2 linked regions of the Pelodiscus sinensis genome follow. The protein of the gene in region 1 interacts with the protein of each later gene in a pairwise test. Links are inferred from orthologs where the notes say so. Each region holds a gene or a part of one and is shown in the gene's direction. Other genes may lie near its edges. The genes, in order: RUFY1 and RAB39B.

The links.
Region 2: the proteins of RUFY1 (region 1) and RAB39B interact in binary tests that used the Homo sapiens proteins (3 or more experiments, as listed by UniProt). The two-hybrid records come from large-scale screens. The link is inferred for Pelodiscus sinensis from reciprocal best matches to the Homo sapiens genes RUFY1 and RAB39B.

What each region holds. Positions count from the first base shown.
Region 1 is NC_134727.1:34,042,285-34,052,247, forward strand, and holds the start of RUFY1 (RUN and FYVE domain-containing protein 1), read left to right. Parts: upstream 1-5,007; 5' UTR 5,008-5,035; coding exon 5,036-5,306; intron 5,307-7,110; exon of another isoform or gene 7,111-7,159; intron 7,160-9,033; exon of another isoform or gene 9,034-9,185; intron 9,186-9,963. UniProt on the Homo sapiens protein: Activating adapter involved in cargo sorting from early/recycling endosomes. Regulates retrieval of proteins from endosomes to the trans-Golgi network through interaction with the dynein-dynactin complex.
Region 2 is NC_134723.1:29,301,147-29,311,341, forward strand, and holds the start of RAB39B (ras-related protein Rab-39B), read left to right. Parts: upstream 1-6,323; 5' UTR 6,324-7,475; coding exon 7,476-7,690; intron 7,691-10,195. UniProt on the Homo sapiens protein: The small GTPases Rab are key regulators of intracellular membrane trafficking, from the formation of transport vesicles to their fusion with membranes.

The sequences.
Region 1 (9,963 bases):
CAGAAGAAAACTGTGTTCTGCCTTCAAACAGAGAGTAAGAGCTGCACTAACAATCTGTGGCAGAGGTGAATACTGAAATAAAATGTAACAGCAGAAGGGGACCATGCAGAAGCGCTGCACTCTCTTTGGGATCTGTATCAACAAAGGGAACTTTCAGCGGAAGCACAGCCCAGGTTTAATGCCCCTGCTATTAAACAAAGGTTTGAAACAAAATAAACTGTAACAACCTGCTATATGAAACAAATAGTAATTTATTCTGAGTATGTGATATACCAGCAATTCTGCTAAAGCCTGACCACACTAAAACATGCTGAGTTGCTTTCAAATTTCCACGGGAATTTGAACTTAACTAGAACACTCCTAGCATTTCAGGTTGCTTATATCATTACGGTTACGTCTACACAGCAGTGTTATTTTAGAATAACTGACATTATTCCAAAATAACATAATCCATATCTACACTACAAGCAGTTATTTCAACATAATATCAAAATAATGTTGAGCTGGAGAACTTCTTTTTCTGACTCCTGTAACCTTCATTTTATGAGGAGTAAGGGAAGTTGGAGGAAGAGTGCTCTTGCTCTGACTTCCTGATGCATAGACAGCATCAAAAGCCGAAATAAGCTATTTTGACTTAAGCTACGCAATTTTAGCTTTAGCCCTGCTGTGTAGACATGCCCCAAAAGGACTCTGGCCTCCAAAAAACGGGGAATTGTTTAATGCTATTTCCATAGTTGACTTATTAACTTTAAATTCACTTTTGCTATACAGATAACTGGGTTCTATTCATTACTTTAAAAATATAAAACTATGCAGGATGAATGTTAGTAGTCTTGGACATGGTAAAATAGCTCTTTTCTGAGCTCAAATGATGGAAGATTGAAATAAAATGTTCTGCTATTATCTCACTGTACTCTTTCATGTTTCTTTTTGAGTTTTTCATTTTCTCTTATTTTAAGGGGACATATATTCTTTTGTTGTTTGTGTCTTACTTCCAGTTAATATTTTTGCTACTGAATGTATGTACTGTAATATTAATCTGTGTCTGCCAGACACATTAGTTGTTGGAAACAGCAAATGAGGAGGAAGGGAAGGAATCTCTGCCTTCTATTTCCCCTCCACCTCCCTGTTCTGCTTCCACTTTATTGAAAGTAGAAATCTATTTAGTTTTATTTACATATAGTTCAGTTGAGAGGACATATAATCAAAGGTCTTTGGAAATATCACACTTGTTTGACTTCCTTAGTCCTATGGGGTTCTGCTCCTGTTAACTGACTCAGAACATGACCTCTGCACCTAATGGGGAGCCCAAAATGAAATCTATGAGGCCCTGACCATACTGTCAATTGCAGGACTAGGGCTTATACAACTATTGCAAAACAAATGTCCTTTGTCCTACTTTCCATAAAAAACAAACACATGGACACTGTGCCAAATACCATTTCATCCCACTAGATGGAGTGCAAAACATATGGTTGTAACCCTGCTGCTGAACAGTGAGCCTATAGTCTGAATAAATCCTGGGTGAATAATGGACTTCAGACTTCAGTTCAGAGGTTCTCTTATCCTTCACAGACACTTAGGAGTTGCGATTTGTTTTGTGGAAAATAAGTTAATTGTGGAATTTTACATTTTTACAGTACCTGAGAGCAGAACAGTAGTTTATATAAAAAATGTTAGGAAGACACATATTTGGGACCAGACTGCGTTCCATACATCTACATATACACATCTCTCTCCTTCCCTTTATGAGAGGGTTGGTTCATCCACCACCCTGGCACCACACTCACCATTCTCAGAAGCATTGTGCAGAGCAGTATTTCTCAACCCTTTTTTTATAAAGTACTCCTTTTTCAAAAAAAAATTCATAAGTACTCCCTTAAAAAAAGTTATAAGTACCCCCAGTACCTACAGTTTTCAGACCCACATATTTTTTTTCTACCATTGCAACACATTTGTTTAAACAACTTAATCGTAGCTGGGCGGGCAATGAAGTTTTTGGGTGTAAAAAGTACAAAAATAATAAAGCACTGTAAAACTTAAAACAAAAATTCAGTTTTCTCTAAATTTCAGTTGTGTTGATGTACCTCCCAGACTTCTCTTGAGTATCCCTGAGGGTACTCATACCACTGGTTGAGAAAAACTGGTGCAGAGGATGGGCCCTGGAAGGAGAAGTTACATTGTTTCACCAATACCACAGGCCATCCACTCACCAGCATGCCTCAATAGTATCAGTAATGGTCAGAACAGAAATGGTCAGACTCCTTCCCTCAGATCCCTCTAGCAGATTTCCCTGGGACAAAAGGGCCTCAGTCTGGCCCCAATCTTTCTAATTTACAAAAGTTAACCAGATCAAAAAGACTCTCTACTTCACAACAGGACATGATGACTAGCTTCTTTCCTTTCCCCCCACTGTTATCAGTCTTGTCTAACCATTATCTATTAAATATGCTGTGCTTACTAAGGATACATCTACACAGCAACACTAGTTCGAAATAACTGGCTTTATTTCGAAATAGCTTGGTCCACATCTACACAGCAGGCAGTTATTTTGAAATAATGTCAAAATAGATGGAGGACTTCTTATTCTAACTCCTGTAACCCTCATTGTCTGAGGAGTAAGGGAAGTCAAAGGAAGAGTGCTGTATTTCAAAATAAGTGCTATGTAGATGCTCCCAATTTTGAAATAAGCTATTTCAAAATAAGCTACAAAGTTTTGCTATTTCAAAATAAGCTCAATTTGCGTAGCTTATTTCGAGATAAGCCCTGCTGTGTAAACACACCCCAATGAAACTTCTATAACTCTCCTTATAGCTTGGCACCTCTCTTTTGCATCAAATAAAAAACTTTAAAGTAGAAACAAAAATAAATAAATAAACAAAAGATAAGGGACTTGTTCTAGCCTAAAGATGTATTTCTTTTGTTACCAAGTTTGTTGGTAACAAGAGGTCCCCAATTACCTACCTGTCCCTGTCCTTTAGCTTCCACCAAACAAAATATTTCCTAGGACTATCCAACAAAAATAACCGTATAGAATCAGGGGAGGGAAATCAACCATAATTAAGACAAGTTTAAACAAGCTGTAGTCCAGCTGTGTTATATAGTTGCTGCTGGACAGAAAACTGCATGTTACGGACATATTAAGGCACTGTGTTTTAGTCTAAATAGATAATTTGCGAGGTCACATTTTTCTAATCAGGATCAGGTTTGTTGATTGCCTCAAAATCATTATAATATGTCCTTTCTGTCCACACAGACATGTTGTAACTAGGGATGTAATAGGATAACTGTTTACTCGGTTAACCAATAAAGTTTTGGCTCCCAGGAAGCCAGCTGCCACCCTGCACAGCTGGCTCTATATTAGAGCCTTCAGTGCAGGGTAGCAACCAGCTCTCTGGGAGTGGGATGGAAGCTGGGAGCTGGTACATGCTTTTAAGCCACCTTCCAGCGTTCACCAGCTGCTGCCCCGCACTGCTGCCTCTGTATCAGCAGTATAATATACGGTACCTGATTACCTACTTTTTAATATCTCTAGTTGTATCGTGGCTAAGCTGCAGCCATGTTTCCCAACTCTGCTTAAATATGGCTATTTTTGTAGTGTAGATGCTGCAGGGAAGCATACTTCACTTTCAAAAATATATAAGAAACTTAAGGTGAGGCCCAACATTGACCAGGTGCGTTTTTGCGTAGATTACACTTACAGGAAGTTCAAGAAATTAAATATATGTAATAGATTTTTTTATTAATGTACTTACAAAAGGGAAGTAACATAATAGTTTTGAATTTGTAGGATTTCAACTTCAAACATTATTCATTTTCTTGAATAATCACTACACATAGTAAATTTGAATCAGAAACTTATACAGCTTCCATTACTCTTTCCATAACTAATCTGAATTATGTTGTGATTTGTAACAATAAAAATTTTCTTTGCACTAAAATGACAGTTGAATAGGCGACTCGATTTTAATTTTGTTAGCAAATATTTTTTATAGACTCTAATAATAATAGTCATGACTTTTTTCCAATGAAAACCAAAAATTACTATTTAAACCAGTGTTTCTCAAAGTGGTCTGTGAACCCACTCTGAGAAAGCTGATACCAGGCTGCTCCAGTTTGTGTATTTATTAGCTCCACAGCTACAGAGCCTCACGGCTCCCAGAGTATGTCTACACTGCAAGGCTTAACTTGAGTACTTTTCTAATGACTTCCCTTATTCCTCATACAATGAGGGTTACAGGAGTCAGAGTAAAAAGTCCTCAAGCTTGACAGTATTTTGACACTATTGAAATAACTGCCTGCTGAGTAGACGCGGACTAAGATATTTCAGAATAGCACCATTTATTTCAAAATAGTGTTGCAGTGCAGACGTACCCCCATTGGTGCGGTTTGCCATTTGAATAACACTGATTTAAACCTTTCACCCATCATATTCCAGTGTAAAAAGTAGTGCATTCAGATCATTTCAGTGGCAGGATTGTTTATGTAAATTTTGGTATCTGTAGGTAATCGGGATATGACTTTATTTTGCACAAACAAATCCACAAACAAACTCTTCATAATATATAGTAATTTCTTTCAATACTCTTTTCTAGGTTATGATGGTCCCGTTTTAGAAAAGACAATCCAGTCTCAAAAGACTCAATGTGTTTTTTAAATGCTGCAAAATCTGTGACTTCATATACTCTGGGAAAATGCTAACTTAAAATATTGTGTAGAAGTACAGAGGCTGCATTGGGTTTTTCAGAAAGCTACAAATAAGAATTGTAATAATATAAAAGGACATTCACTATACAATATCTAACAGAGTATCATTTGTTGTGATAATCAGTAACCAGAAAATATACTAGCTGTGGCTATAATTTGGAGCATATCACAATCAGGATGTTTAGTATCTGACACTTTTGCTCATGCGACTGGTTGTTGTGTAACCACGCACAGCACTTTTGTCATGAAACAACTCCTATCACCTACAGAGCAGGGAGTTTCTGCTTAACTCGATTGCTCATGACTAGTGTCATATGACATTTTAAAGATGGCTGAAGGAGAGAGTTGCAATGCATCTGCTGTGAAACAGAAAGAAGATTTTGAAATAATTGACAGAAACCTGATTCCTAATGTAACTGAGTTGAAAAACGAGGTGAAAGAAAAAGCTGTTGAAGAATCGGGATGGTCTGCTCCCATCTTTTCACTGGCCAAGAAAGCTTCAGAAAACTTAGCAGTGAGCTATGGCAACGCTCTGAAGTCTGCAGCTTTGATAGGACTCGTACCCAAACCAGTCAGCAATGACAACACAACAAAAACAAGTATGATTATGTTTATTCAGTAAACTTCCTTGTACTGTGTACAAATAAGTTAGTTATAATCTGCAAGTGTCAGAGATGCATTATTACTTTGCATTTATTTAAAAAAACCTATCCCCTGTGGATACTGTAATGATTTATGCAAAGTACTTTTGAACCCAGAGAACAAATCTCAGCGAACTTTTACATGCTCAGGGAAAACATAACCTTTTGATATTTTTGGGAGGATGGCTTTTTATTTTATACATTTTTCTTTCTAACTTACCCAGAAAAGTTCAGCTTACATGTAGCATGACCGCAACAGTGTCTAGTATGGTCTCTTTCTTTACTTACAGCTGGGCTGACTAGAACAAGGAAACTATATATATTGCTTTCGAATCACATTAATCTGTCTCCCTCATTCACACAGTATTGAAACATCATGAAGCAATTATAAAATAAGAGATGTAAAAATCTAATAATAATATATTAAAATTATGTATATTTTAGAAAAATATTAATAAAAACTGAATAGTTTATTAGCAAACATTTATGGATGTCCTTGCAGAACTTAAATCTGCTTAATAAGTACAGGCAGTCCCCAGGTTACATACAAGATAGGGACTGTAGGTTTGTTCTTAAGTTGAATCTGTATGTAAGTCGGAACTGGCATCCAGATTCAGCCGCTGCTGAAACTGATCAGTTTCAAGAGCAGCTGAATCTGGACACCAGTTCCGACTTACATACAGATTCAACTTAAGAACCCCAGGCGTCCTCAAGTCAGCTGCTGCTGAAACTGATCAGCAGCTGATTCCAGGAAGCCCGGGGCAGAGCAACTCTGCCTCGGGCTTCCTGTAGTCAGCCGCTGGTCAGTTTCAGCAGCGGCTGACTTGGGGACGCCTGGGGCAGAGCAGCTGGGATGCTGCCGGGTTGGTCCAGTAGCGCCAAGGAGCGGTGCTGCGGGATCAACCGGCAGCGCCCCACCTGCTCTACCACAGGCCCCGGGCTTTGCTCCACGTCTCCCTGGTCTGCTGGGGAGGGGCACTAGCTGCGTCCCCCCCCCCTCCAGCAGACCAGGGAGACGCGGAGCAAAGCGGCGGAGGACCCGGGCCGGACCGCGGCGCTTCCAGATCAGCGCCGCGGTCCGGCCCAGGTCCTCCGTGGCTTTGCTCAGCGTCTCTCTGGTCTACAGACCAGGGAGACGCTGAGCAAAGTGGCGGAGGACCCGGGCCGGACCCGCGGCGCTTCCAGATCAGCGCCGTGGGTCCGGCCCGGGTCCTCCGCCGCTTTGCTCCCCGTCTCCCTGGTCTGCTGGTTCCCCCAGCAGACCAGGGAGACGGGGAGCAGCTTTTCTCGCCCCGGAGGAGGCAGGCGGCGGGACCAGGCGTCCCGCCGCTCCAGTCCTCCGGAGCGAGAAAATCCCTGTTCGTAACTGCGGATCCGACATAAGTCGGATCCGCGTAACTCGGGGACTGCCTGTATAATCTTTGCTCCACTGAAGTCTAAGGGAGTTTTGCCAGTGATTTCAGTAGGGTCAGGATGTCACTTTCTCTGTAGTGTTTACTGCTGCATCTATTAGCTAGTGTTTCTTGTCAATCTTCCAAAAATTACCAGACAAAATCAGAAGAACTGGAAATCTTCCAACATTGCAGATTAAATGCAACATTAATTTAAAAGAGACAAAATAGTCCCAGGCATAGGGGATAAAGGCAGGACATGAAGTCTCTATCTACATTCTCTAAGAGGGCTCACCTCTCTATCTAGGATTTCTATATTGAGGTATCAGATTCTGAGGTGACCCTGAAGTGTCATAGTCTATTGTACTTACTGAAAGCTCTGTCCCCTGGCAGGCTGATCTAACACAGTTCAAGTCCTACCTAAAAGACAAACATTCATATTTAGCTTTTTTATGTAACTTCCCTTCCGTTTTAGTGTACACAGAGAGAACCAACTAGAGGGTGGGGTACAGTGAACATGAATACTGATAGTGCTCTCAATTGCACAGTAAACGGAAAAATAGGAATGTATTGCGTAATTGAATAATCGTGTAACTGCATGAAATCTTAGTGATTACACAACTATTCAATTGTCCCCAAGGGCAGGGCCAGCAGCCAGTGAGCCCTCTGTCACCCCATGCTGCTGCTTCTATATCAGCAGAAGATGGCAGGCAGGAGCCAGTCCACAAGGGAAGACAGTTTAAAAACCAGCCCCTCACTGCACAGGCCGGCTGCCTGCTGCCCTGCGCTGCTGCCTCTGATACATTGGTAACAGCATGAGGTGGCAGTAGCCCCTGTTCATGGGGTTTGAGCTCCCTGCAGACAGGGGCTGCTGCTGCAGGCCTCTGTGATCAAGCTTGCAAGCCCAGGCTTGCTGTGGACAGAGGTTGCTTTGCAGTCTCCCCTGCCCCTGCCCCATGAGATGGCACAATGGAGCTGGTGCTGGGGAGAGCTGCCTTTTGAGGTAGCACTCCCCCAGCGCTGGCTCCTGCCTGCCAGCTGCTTAAAAGCTGGCTCCCCACATATATCGGCTATGGCGTGCCCCCCTTCCCTCCATGTTGCTGCCTCTCTGTTCCCTGGGCGAGTGAGAGGTGTGAATCAAGTTCCCAACCCCAGACACTGGAGACCAGCACTTTACCCATTAGGCCACTGGAGGATCCACCCCACTGCCCATTGGCCTTCCACTGTGCAGAAACTCAATTTAAGATGTCAACTTCAGCTAAATAATTAATGTAGCTAAAGTTGGGTATCCTATTTCAATCTTATGCTATAGTGTAGACCAGGCTTAAATGGGGTTCTGTGTGTAGTTATTAAAATTGTATATGCCACCCTTACAGAGCAATGTAATGAAATTAATGGGATGTCTCCAGAGTATTAAAGCTTAGCAGCTATACAACTCCTGCCACACATTTCAGATCTTCACAGATTTGCACACAAATTCTGCCACAGAAATTTCAAATCTTTACAGATTTGCCATTTGAGGAGCAAGTAACCATGATTACTTTGGTAATATATAAAGATGTGTGACGTTTTTAAATAGCACTGCATTCCCAGATGGAAAACTGGGTGAGGTCTCGGAGAAACTCAGATCCTTAAATTCAGTAAGTCTTGCCAATAAAATGGAGGAACTGGAACTACTGGTTCAGGTCAAATTAGACATTTTAGGGACTTACAGACACATTGTGAAATAGCAGTTATGACTGGAATAAAAGTCCTGAAGAAGATGTGCTCTTTAGGAGAGTCACAAATAAAGGTAAAATTGGTGGAGGTAGCTTTGTACATCAAAGATCTAGTAAACCCCTCAAAAATACAAAGTAATAGTGTGGACAAAACTGAATCTGATCATGAAAGAAGATCTGTGGTGATAGTGTTAAGGTCTGTTGTAGAACTCCAGGGTTGGAAGGGGATATGGATAGTGTACAGAAATACTGCTACATCTGAAGTTGAAGAAAAATATATAGCTGAATCCAGAGTACTGAAAAATTGGCATGGGAGATTGCTAATCTGATAACCAGGATTTTTAACAATTCTGTCTATCCAGGGATAGTACCAAATGACTGGAAAATAGCGAAAGCCATATGCATATGTAAGGAAGAGGTAGGAGGGGAAAGTGATCCAGGTAATTATAGACCAGTTCGTCTGATCTCAGTAGTATGTAAAGTTTTAGAACAAATTGTGAAAGAATAATTAAATGTATAGAGACAAACATGTTATGCAACATGGTTTTACCAAAGATAGATAGTGCCATAACTAACCTGATTTACTTCTTTGAGAAGTCACCTTTGGGAAGCCTCCATCTGCTATGTGGAGTGTTGACTACTTGCCAGGATCATCGGGATATATGTCAGCTCCCTGTCTTTGCTGATGCCTTGGGCATTGGTACACCTCAGACCTTCAAATTATTTGCCTGTGGTGACATATAATAGTTTAGTCTCTAGTGGGCTGTAATACTTAGCGCTAACTTTCAGTGTTGGTGGCCTGTGATATACAGATTAGACAGGATGATTTGGTGGTCCCTTCCGGCCTTAAATTCCTTGCTTTTGTGACATTCTTCAGTAATTAACACTTCTTTTAATCTAATTTTAGTTTCCTTTTCTTATTCTATATCCTAAATTATGTAAATTATGAATGTTGATAACTATTAGTTTTGATTAGTAAACCACATATTTTGTAGCTGCAACAAATTATTTACTTGACTTGAATTCCATTGTCATGATGTGAAGCAAACAGTTAGCTGTTTGATGCAATCCTGATGATATTTAAAACATGAAAATAAATAGAAAGCACAATAATTAATTTACTGTACAGGCTGAACCTCTGTGGTCCGGGACTCTATGTGGTTCAAGCTCTGGGAGGGAAGGGGAGAAGCAGGGATGCAGTGCAAATCAGCATATTCATGGTGCTCTGAAAGTGCTCGGAGAGAGGTGGAGGAGTAGAAAGTCCGGGACTCCAGTGCCCCAGTGTGCGATAGGTGTGCGGGTGAGGGAGGGAGCAGACAGTGGGTGCGCGGGCCATAGATGGAACCCCAGTCAGCAGCATGCTGCCCACAGGCTGCAGGTTGCTCACCACTGCTGTAAATATTACAAGGGGGCAGATATGATAAATATGATAGCACTGCCTATAGTTAAGGTTGACCAGTACTTCCCATTATAAGACTGTTTTCAGTTGCTTACAATTTTGCCAAA
Region 2 (10,195 bases), on another chromosome or scaffold:
ATCAGATCAATCTCTGGTGCAGCAAGTGAAGATGTGGCCTTCCTTTGCTGCTCTTTGCTATTCCCTGTGCGTTCTGTTCAGAGACATCCCTGCACAAGGCTGCCTAGCATTTCTGATATCAATGTCCCCCCATTCTTGTGTTTATACTCAAATTGCTGCAAAAAAATGCAAAACAGAGCCTGGTTTTACAGTGCTCTTTTAAAATAGTGCATCGTCAATCCATGTTCTCAATTTAGCAGTGGCAATTAATTATCAGTCTGGCTCTATCATTTTTATTAATCAAGCATTTAAATTAATGTTCAAACCACTCCCAATATTATATGTTATTAAACAAAGAGCATTAAAGACAGACGTTAGAGTGTCTCAGCAGCATAATAAAGTGATAGCAGTTCATGGATTCACAAGCTGGGGACTATGATGTCACAAACAGGTTTTTTTGGAGTGGAGTGGGTCATGTCACCCTCTCGTTCTCGCTGTTTGATGTTGTATGATAGAGTATGGGGGTCACAGCTATAAACACCTCTTTAGTTTGGCCCTTTGGAGTAGACAGGTTGAATACAATGGAACTGACAAAACGAGGGTCCTGTGGCACCTTAGAGATGAATAGATTTATTAGGGCAGAAGCTTTCATAAGAACATAAGAATGGCCATACAGGGTCAGACCAAAGGTCCATCTAGCCCAGTAGCCTGTCTGCCAACAGTGACTAGCACCAAGTGCCCAGGAGGGGGTGTACCGAAGACAATGATCAAGTGATTTGTTCTTGAATCTAACCTCCATGAATTTATCTAGCTTCTCTTTAAACTCTGTTATAATTCTAGCCTTCACAGCCTCCTTTGGCAAGGAGTTCCACAGGTTGTGTGAAGAAGAACTTTCACTTATTAGTTTTAAACCTGCTACTCGTTAATTTCATTTGGTGTCCTCTAGTCCTTTTATTATGGGAACTAATGAAGAACTTTTCTTTATTCACCCTCTCCACACCACTCATGATTTTATATGCATTCATCAGATGCATTGAAGTGGAAATGACAGAGGCAGGGAGTATATATATATATATATATATATATATATATATATATATATATATTTGTATACATATATATATAATTAAGGGAGTTACTTATCAAGTGTAGGACCTGTGACAAAGGTATGCACATGTGGACGTGGTCATAGAAGCTAAGCAAAGTTTAAGGGAGCTCTTACTCTGCCTCACTAAGAAAAACAGCTTCATTTGAGAAAATAGGATAGCACTTGTAACAGGAAGATTAACACTGCTTGAGCCAACTTGCTGCTTAACAGTTTCTGGAGAAGGCAAAGCAAGTTATCTATTGAACGGTGTGAGGGCAAGCTTGCTGGACTCAATAAAGTATGTGTCATGGTCCTAAAACAGAGAATTCACCTTTCCCTGAGAAAGGTGGCACTAAGCTCACAATTGTTGTCTCAAGAACTTGGAAGAGGGAAAAGTCATCAGGAATAGTCAACACGGACTCACGAAGGGCAAGTCATGCCTGACCAATCTGATTAGCTTCTGTGATGAGGTAACTGGCTCTGTGGACATGGGAAAGTCAGTGGATGTGATATACCTTGACTTTAGCAAAGCTTTTGATACGGTCTCCTGCAATATTCTTGCCAGCAAGTTAAGGGAATATGGATTGGATACATGGACTGTAAGATGGATAGAAAGCTGGCTCAACTGTCGGGCCCAATGGGTAGTGATTAATGGCTCGATATCAGGCTGGCAGTCGGTTTCTAGCAGAGTGCCCCAAGGATCTGTTCTTGGACTGGTTTTGTTCAACATCTTTTATTAATGACCTGAATGAGGGGATGGATTGCACCCTCAGCAACTTTGCAGATGACGCTAAACTAGGGAGAGAGGTAGAGACGCCTGATGGCAGGGAGAGGGTCCAGAGTGACCTGGACAGATTAGAGGATTGGGCCAAAAGAAATCTGATGAGATTCAACAAAGACAAGTGTAGAGTCCTGCACTTGGGATGGAAGAATCCCAAGCATAGTTACAGGCTGGGGACCAAATGGCTAAGTAGCAGTTCTGCAGAAAAGGACCTGGGGATTACAGTGGATGAGAAGCTGGATATGAGTCAACAGTGTGCCCTTGTAACCAAGGCTAATGGCATGTTAGGGTGCATTAGGAGGAGCATTGCCAGCAGATCCAGAGAAGTGATTATTCCCCTTTATTCGGCTCTGGTGAGACCACATCTGGAATATCGTGTCCAGTTCTGGGCTCCCCACTATAGAAAGGATGTGGACGCATTGGAGAGGGTCCAGTGGAGGGTGACCAAATGATTAGGGGTCTGGAGCGCATGACCTATGAGGACAGACTGAGGGATTTGGGTTTGTTTAGTCTGCAAAAGAGAGGAGTGAGGGGGGATTTGATAGCAGCCTTCAACTTCCTGAAGGGAGGTTCCAAAGAGGATGGAGAGAGGCTGTTCACAGTAGTGACGGATGGCAGAACAAGGAGCAATGGTCTCAAGTTACAGTGGGAGAGGTCTAGGTTGGATATTAGGAAAAACTATTTCACTAGGGCTGTGTCCAGACTCAGGGTTTTTTTCGGGAAAAGTAGCCTTTTTCCGAAAAAACTTCACCTGCGTCTAGACTGCAGCCGCGTTCTTTCTAAATTAAATCGAAAGAACGCAGCTTTTCTTTCGACAGCGGTAAACCTCATTTCACGAGGAAGAACGCCTTCTTTCAAAAGTGCTTCTTTCGAAAGAAGGCGTTCTTGAATGTAAATAGGGCTTCTTCGAAAGAGAGCATCCAGACTCACTGGGTGCTTTCTTTCGAAAAAGCGGCTTCCTCTTTCGAAAGTTCCGCGTGCAGTCTAGATGCTCTCTTTCGAAAGAGGCTTGCAGTCTAGACATAGCCTAGGAGGGTGGTGAAGCACTGGAATGGGTTACCTAAGGAGGTGGTGGAATCTCCATCCACAGAAGTTTTTAAGGCTCAGCTTAAGAAAACCCTGGCTGGGTTGATTTAGTTGGGATTGGTCCTGCCTTGGGCAGGGGGCTGGACTTGATGACCTTCTGAGGTCTCTTCCAGCTCTATGATCCTATGATTCTAAGGCGGGCGAGGTAAATAGCTATTGGACCAACGTCTGATGTGAAACAGGGTTTTGAGCAGACACAAAGCTCTTCCTCTTCTTCAGCCCTGAAGAAGAGCTCTCTGATGTGTGAAATGTAACCCTGCTGGGTGTGGTGCACTGTCCCACCTTAGTAGTACCAAGACCACTTTAAGAGAGAAGAATGAGTCTGCTCTACAGCCTTAGCTAAGAGCCAGCAGGCTTTTAGCTGGTGTGGTACAGGCTCATGCACTAAGCTCCACAAGTCCTAGGTTCGATTCCATCTGTCATTGTTATAAAAGCCTATGGCTTTCATCAATGGAAGTTGGTCCAATAAAATGCCATTGCCTCATCTACCTTATCTAATAGCCTGGGCCCAACATGGCTCCAATGCTGCACAATAACAGCTAGAAACATTCAGGCTGTCTCTAGACTGGCCAGTTTTTCCGGAAAATCAGCCGCTTTTCCGGAAAAACTTGCCAGCTGTCTACACTGGCCGCTTGAATTTCTGCAAAAGCACTGACTTCCTACTGTAAGAAATCAGTGCTTCTTGCGGAAATACTATGCTGCTCCCATTTGGGCAAAAGTCCCTTTTGCACAAAACTTCTGCACAAAAGTGCCAGTGTAGACAGCTGAGATTTGTTTTCCGCAAAAAGCCCTGATCAAAAAATGGCAATTGGGGCTTTTTTGCAGAAAAGCACGTCTAGATTGGCCACGGATGCTTTTCCGCAAAAAGTGCTTTTGCGGAAAAGCGTCCATGCCAATCTAGATATTCTATTCCAAAAATGCTTTTAACGGAAAACTTTTCTGTTAAAAGCATTTCCGGAAAATCATGCCAGTCTAGATGTAGCCTCAGAATGGGCCTGTTTCATTTTCAGCATAAGTATCTTCCATGTAAACACATTCAGCCACTGGGCTGTTAAATTTTCCAGCCTAAACCAGTACAGTTCCACCGCACAACTTACAACACCCATAGCTGACCAGGTGTCATGGCTGCAGGAAAAGCTGAGCTCCTTTGTCAGTGGTTTGGCTCTCTGGAACGTGGGTAGTTGAGAGCGGTGCATCATGGGTGGACACTCGCAGGACGAGAGCGCTTAATGAGGTGACATTCCTGGGAGGTTGGGGGATTTATTTTGCTGCAATGAGAAATGTTCATCTGGGTTGTGGGAGGGTTAGGGTTAGGGTTAGGGTTAGGCTCAGGGAATGCCTTAGGATTCTCTCCCACCATGTTAAAGACTCAATGCAGCTCAGTGGTCAGACTACGTGCTCAGCCCTGGCTCACACACCTAGCCCTTTTGCAGTCATCTGCACATCATACCGGTTCTGGGGACTCTTTGTTAGCTTCACCCACTCTCACACCTGTTCCGCTTTCTGGATGTGGGAACCCATTAGTGGAGCATCTTTCCAGTCACTTTCCGTGATGCCACTTCCTCCTTCTTCATAACCCTCTAGATACATTTCTTTTTTACAGGAAGTAGGTTACTACAGGTACCTCGCTAGCAACTCTGGAGCTGAGTAACCCAATGGTTTTATTATTGTAACCCTTGCCCTAATTTGCCCCTTCTCTTTTGTTTGCCATGTCCTTCAGCTGCTGTGTGCTAGGAATCCTGTAAGGACCCAGGCAAGGTCTTTATCTTTTAGGAATGCTTTAAAGTGGCTATTTCATGCTGAAGTGCTCTAAAATAATGACTAATAATAATTGTAGGCTACAGCACTAGAGTCACCATCCTTCTGCAAAAACCAAATGAAAAATATGCATGGGGGTGTATGTATAAAAACAGTAATAATAAACTGCAAGACCTGTTGTGAGGCTTAATTCATGTTTGCAAAATGCTTTGAAGGTGTTGGATGGAATACAGTTGATATGCATACAATATTACTATTAATGTAAAGCTAACTTTGATTAATGGTTTTAATATCACTCTGTTGCCCCATTTCTGTAGCTACTTGAACCATCCTTTTTCCCTATTCCCAAGATATTATTGAAACAAGAACTTCCTGGTTAAATATTTTAAATTAATAAATTATATTTTAAAGTACATTAAAATACCTTCACGTTTTTCACAGAAATAAGCACAAATAAGTATCCTGGAAAAATTCCAACTTAAGAAATTCACTTTTGCTGCCTAAATACATGCCCTTACAATGTCACCTGAATACAGTTGTTCTCAAGGTATCACTTCGTATCAGGTTAGAGAATTTTGGAGGGAAAAAAGGCAAAAATGCCCCTTTTTCTTCATCAAAACTATTCACCAATTGTCCACACTTTCCAAATTTTAATTTTTCGTGATTTGCTATTAACCAAGTTCTAGCAACATTTTTGTCATTTTCAGGATACTTTTTTCCATTTTACAGGGTTCAGTCATGCTCAGTGTGCTGCTGTACTAGGTGCTGTACAAACACTGGACACTAAAGACAGTCTTTATGCTGATTTTATAATCAAATCGTCCTGTCCTACATGGTTTTGGTGCATGATGCACCTATGTGGTGTTAAAAAGCTGCCATGTACCACCCCTGAAAAGGCTGCATTGCAAGTGATGGGTGAATCTGCTTCTAAACGTATAATATGGTGTTTGCTTCTTCTGCATGAAATGACATATACAATGTAAGACACTTGTTTCTGTGGCTTTGTTTCCACAGCACTAAGCAGTCTGATGGTGCTCAAAACATCATTGTTTATTGCTTCACTCTGCTCAGCACGGTGTAGAAGACGGGAATACTCATTCAAAATATTGCTAAAAATAGAAGGGGTTAAATTTAATCAATTAGTTGGCTAAGTTTTGTGACACTTAAATAACCAGTTGTTCATATGTTTTTCATTGGCTGCTTGTTTTAAGGGTGAATATTTGCAACGATATACCAGTGTAGCTATTTTGTTTCAAGTACAATGTGTTCCATTATCCATCTAGTTAAAAGCATCATTATCTAGATGGTGAGCTCTTTTGGGGCTAGGGACTGTCTTCTACATATAAAGACAGCACCTATCACATTATGGGTATTCCCAAAATAGAAATAATAAATCATGATAATATTAGGTGTTCACTGCTGGCATTTCTAGATGGTTGAGCCTTGCACAATGTGCCATCCCATTTTACCAAGTTGATATGTTTGCTAATTTCCTTTGTCTTCAGCTAAACTATGGCGCTTTGTTGTGTTAATTTTTTGGCCGGTAGCTTCTTTTCTAATCAATATGGTAGAGTAAGGCAGAAGGAAGTTGCTCTCCTATCCTGCGGATTACAGTAGCTGCTGATGCCAATGATGAGTCAGAGTGTTTGGTGCTGATGTTGCTGCCATTTCATCAGCTCTGTGATCCCCAGCATCCCTTATTCACCAGCTCTCCATCTTTACAACCCTGGGCATCTCTGCGACTAAAGTCCATGCTGCAGGAAGGGCAGCACTTCTGTCTGCAGGGAAAGGAAACCTCTTCTCCAGAGCTAGCCAGGTGCCCTTGAGGACTAACCCCTCTCTGCTTGGAGACAGAATAACGGAACCTAGGAAGCCTTCTAGCATTGGGTTGTTGCTGTTGTTTTCAGTCAAAATCGGATCCCCTGAGCCTGGAGGCTTAGATCTTCGCGAGGTGGGTTCTGTTTTGGTGAGGGGGGCGGATCAGAGCGCTTTCTTGGAACCCTTCGTTGCTGACCTGGACGTAGGCGGCGGAGTTTTAGCTCTAGATCTTTGTACTGACACAACGTGAAAAAGGCTGGAGCCCTCGAAGGGGAGCCGGCCCTGCCAGCCAACCCCGCGCCTGCTTTTGTAAACAGCCGGCCATCGCTAAGCTCGTTCCCATGACAGACAAAAGCCTTCCCCCGCCATTGCAAAAGGAAATACGGATCAGTGGCCAAAAAACGCCCGTCGCATCCTGATCACAACGCAAAACAACCAGCGGGCGCGGAGAGAAATCTGGGCTGGTGCGGGGCCACATGGAGCCCATCTGACCTTTGCATTGCCGGCAGAGGCAGCTTGCGGCTGTGGGGCAGAAGCGGGGGCAGCGAGACCCCCGCGAAGCTTTCCCTGGAGCCAGAGGACATGACCCGGGAGGCGAAGGTAGATGCCAGGCGCCCTGAAGGCTCCTCCGCCAGCCAGCGGCCACGCAGACCTGCCCTTGTGGGGCTGGCACTTGTCGCCTGAAGAGCCCTAGCGGCTGCGGCGAGCCCGGCGCCCGCGGGTGGGCAGTGTCCCCACAGCGCCCTCTGCCGGGGGCCTGCACGTCTGGCTGCAGGACTGTGAGCCGCACCGCGGGGCACCTGCTGGCCGCGGGAGCCTCCCCGACACCCGCTCCCGGCTCGGCATGGGCGGCGCGCAGCTGGCCTCTCGCTAGCGCTGTGCCCGGGCAGGCTGCGAGCCAAGCCGGCGAGGCCCGGGCTAACCCAGCCCCCTCCAGCGAGGCCAGAGCCGGGCGCAGGGGGCAGCATGGAAGCGATCTGGCTCTATCAGTTCCGCCTGATCGTCATCGGGGACTCCACCGTGGGCAAATCCTGCCTGATCCGCCGCTTCACCGAGGGGCGCTTCGCCCAGGTCTCGGACCCCACGGTGGGCGTGGATTTCTTCTCCCGGCTGGTGGAGATTGAGCCGGGGAAACGGATCAAGCTGCAGATTTGGGACACGGCCGGGCAGGAGCGATTCAGGTGAGAGCCGGGGCAGGGGCGGCTTTACGGCTGTAGCTCCGCTTGCTCCGGGAAGCGAGCTCGCCCGGGCTCTTTCGAGTTCACAGACCTGCTGCTGGAGGAGGGCGAGGTGAGGGGGGCGCCTAGTCTGGGAGCAAAGCCCCTGTGCAGGCAGCGCCCTCTAGTAGCAGCGCCCGCAGCCCGTTCTCCCTCTCTCCTTGCATCTGTGGAGTGGGCTCCAGGCCAGGGAACCATAAATGTGTCAGTCTTTAAGGTGCCCCAGGACTCCTGGTTATTTTGGCTGAACCAGACTAGCCAGGCGGCCGTTTTGACCCTCATCCCTTGTAATCCTAGGCGGCCTTGGGCAAGCATCCGCCCTGGCCCAGGGAAGGAAACAAGCCAAACCCTTGCTAGAGCAAAGCTAACCTGACAGGGGCTCTCAGCAGGCCTGCCCCAGAACAGGCCCTAATACACTGCAACCCTCTGACACCTGGCCCTTAGCTTGGCCGGAGATGGGAGCTGGCTTTTAAAATGTGCTAGGTGGAGAGAATCTGTCTTTCCGCCCTTGGGAGGGATGCTGGCCAGCCTAGACTGGATGAAATTAGCTAGCCGCCTTTCTCCCTTTTTCTGTGATGCCTTTGCCTTTTGTACAAAGAACTAGGCAGGGTTCCATTCAGTGAGCCTGCTGTGGCTTTTGATGCAGCAGAACAATACATTCAAGCCTCAGAGGGGGAGTGAATGAAGTCTAAAGAGTCAGGACAATTCTGATTAGACAAATCATCATTGTTAATAAGGTTGTGAAATCAGGCACTTGGAAGCCAAGAAATGCACAGTTAATGCTGCTGGCTTGGGCTTGTGCATTGAAATATGATCACTCCAGGTCATTATGAATTATTTCTCCACTGATGCTCTTTTATGTAAGAGGGAATTTCTAAACAGGCTTTTGCGTAGCAAGATGTAGTACCATCCCTACAATCCTCAGACTGGATTTTTAAAGATCCGTGCTTCTGAGCAAGCCAAAATTATAAATTGCAACATGGAGACTGAGATGTAGTTCCATTTTAGAGCCAATTTGGCTTGCTTTGTTCATGTCTAAGTCCTGTTGAAATCAATGGCATAAAGATTTTGTCTTTAACTTTCTGCTAAGCCCACAAAGATGTAGTAGGCAAAATCCACATTCTGAGCATGTATTAACGGTTGCCCAAGTTATACAGAAACACACAGCCTGTCTCTGCAGCGGAGGATGAATGAAAGATTTTGAAACATAACAAGGCTTGTTTGCCTCCCACTGGCCCAAATGAAAATAAATCAAAACTGAACTCTGCATGTGGGAGCAGAAATAAATGTTCACCAAGTGGAGAAAGCCAAGACAAATTCACTGCAATTTGCTAGTCACATAAAAAAATGTAGGGTATGCAGGAACATGAAGGAAGAGCATGTAACAGACTGGTGAAAAGAAATAGCAGCCAAGTGTTCAAACTGGGCTGCCTAAAATTAGGTTCCTAGGATCATAAATGAGGCATCTAAATATGGAAACTTGATTGTCAAAAGTGTAGCAGCTTTCACTCAAGTCTATTGACTGTGGGTTGGAGATAAAGGATTTAGACTGACTGTGACGAAATGCTGTCTTCCTACATACAGGTACTGCTGTAGTGTGTGTGTGTCAGCCTGCAGCAGTGAATACTGAATGGGGACTAGTCATTTAAGAGGCTAATTGGTAGCAAACTTGACTTCATTAGCAAAGAAAAGGAGTATATGGGGGCGGGGGCTATCCAGGGGATTCACTGCAGCACCATCTGGTAAATTGCAGCCATGTGATGATTGTATTTATCATACCTCTTTCACCCACGCTCTGCTCACTCAGCCATCTCCCAAGTGGCCACTTCCATCATTCCAAACCTTGGAGCAGCTTCAAAAAGCTGCCATTTTTTTATTAGTCTGATCCAGAATGTTTCAGTAGCTGAATCTCTCCCTCGTATGACTGTGGCTGTGACCCAGGATGGACAATACTCAGACCTTAGCTGGTGACATATGTGAGGTCTGATTATTTTGCATCCATTCAGGGCTAGAAACACCAGATTTATACCATTGGGAGAGGGCAGTTACCAGTGTTCATTTGCTACCGGCTCTATCGTTAGAGCTTGGAATTTAAAGGTTACCCGTTAAGGACTTTTTTAAAGAATGAGTTTAAGCTAGCACTCCCCACCACTCCTCATCTCCCCTCATGTTTTGTGCTGCATAAAGATGGCTTGAAAGGTTTTTCAACTACGATATTTTTTCCTTGCTTTAAAGTCTAAAAATATTGTGGCTGCTTACCCCTGGTTTGGCCAGCTGACCTCTCATAGGGTCACAGATCATATGGAAGGGAAGCCCTCTTACCTTTCTTGAAAGAGTAGGGTAGGTGTGTGTGTGGGGGGGGGAAGGGTTCAGTTTAAGCAAGATGCCCTGTTTCCAAAAGTGTTCTTAGTCATTGGCATTAAGCAATACGAAACCAAAAGGAAGCATTTTAAACAGTCGGACAAAAAT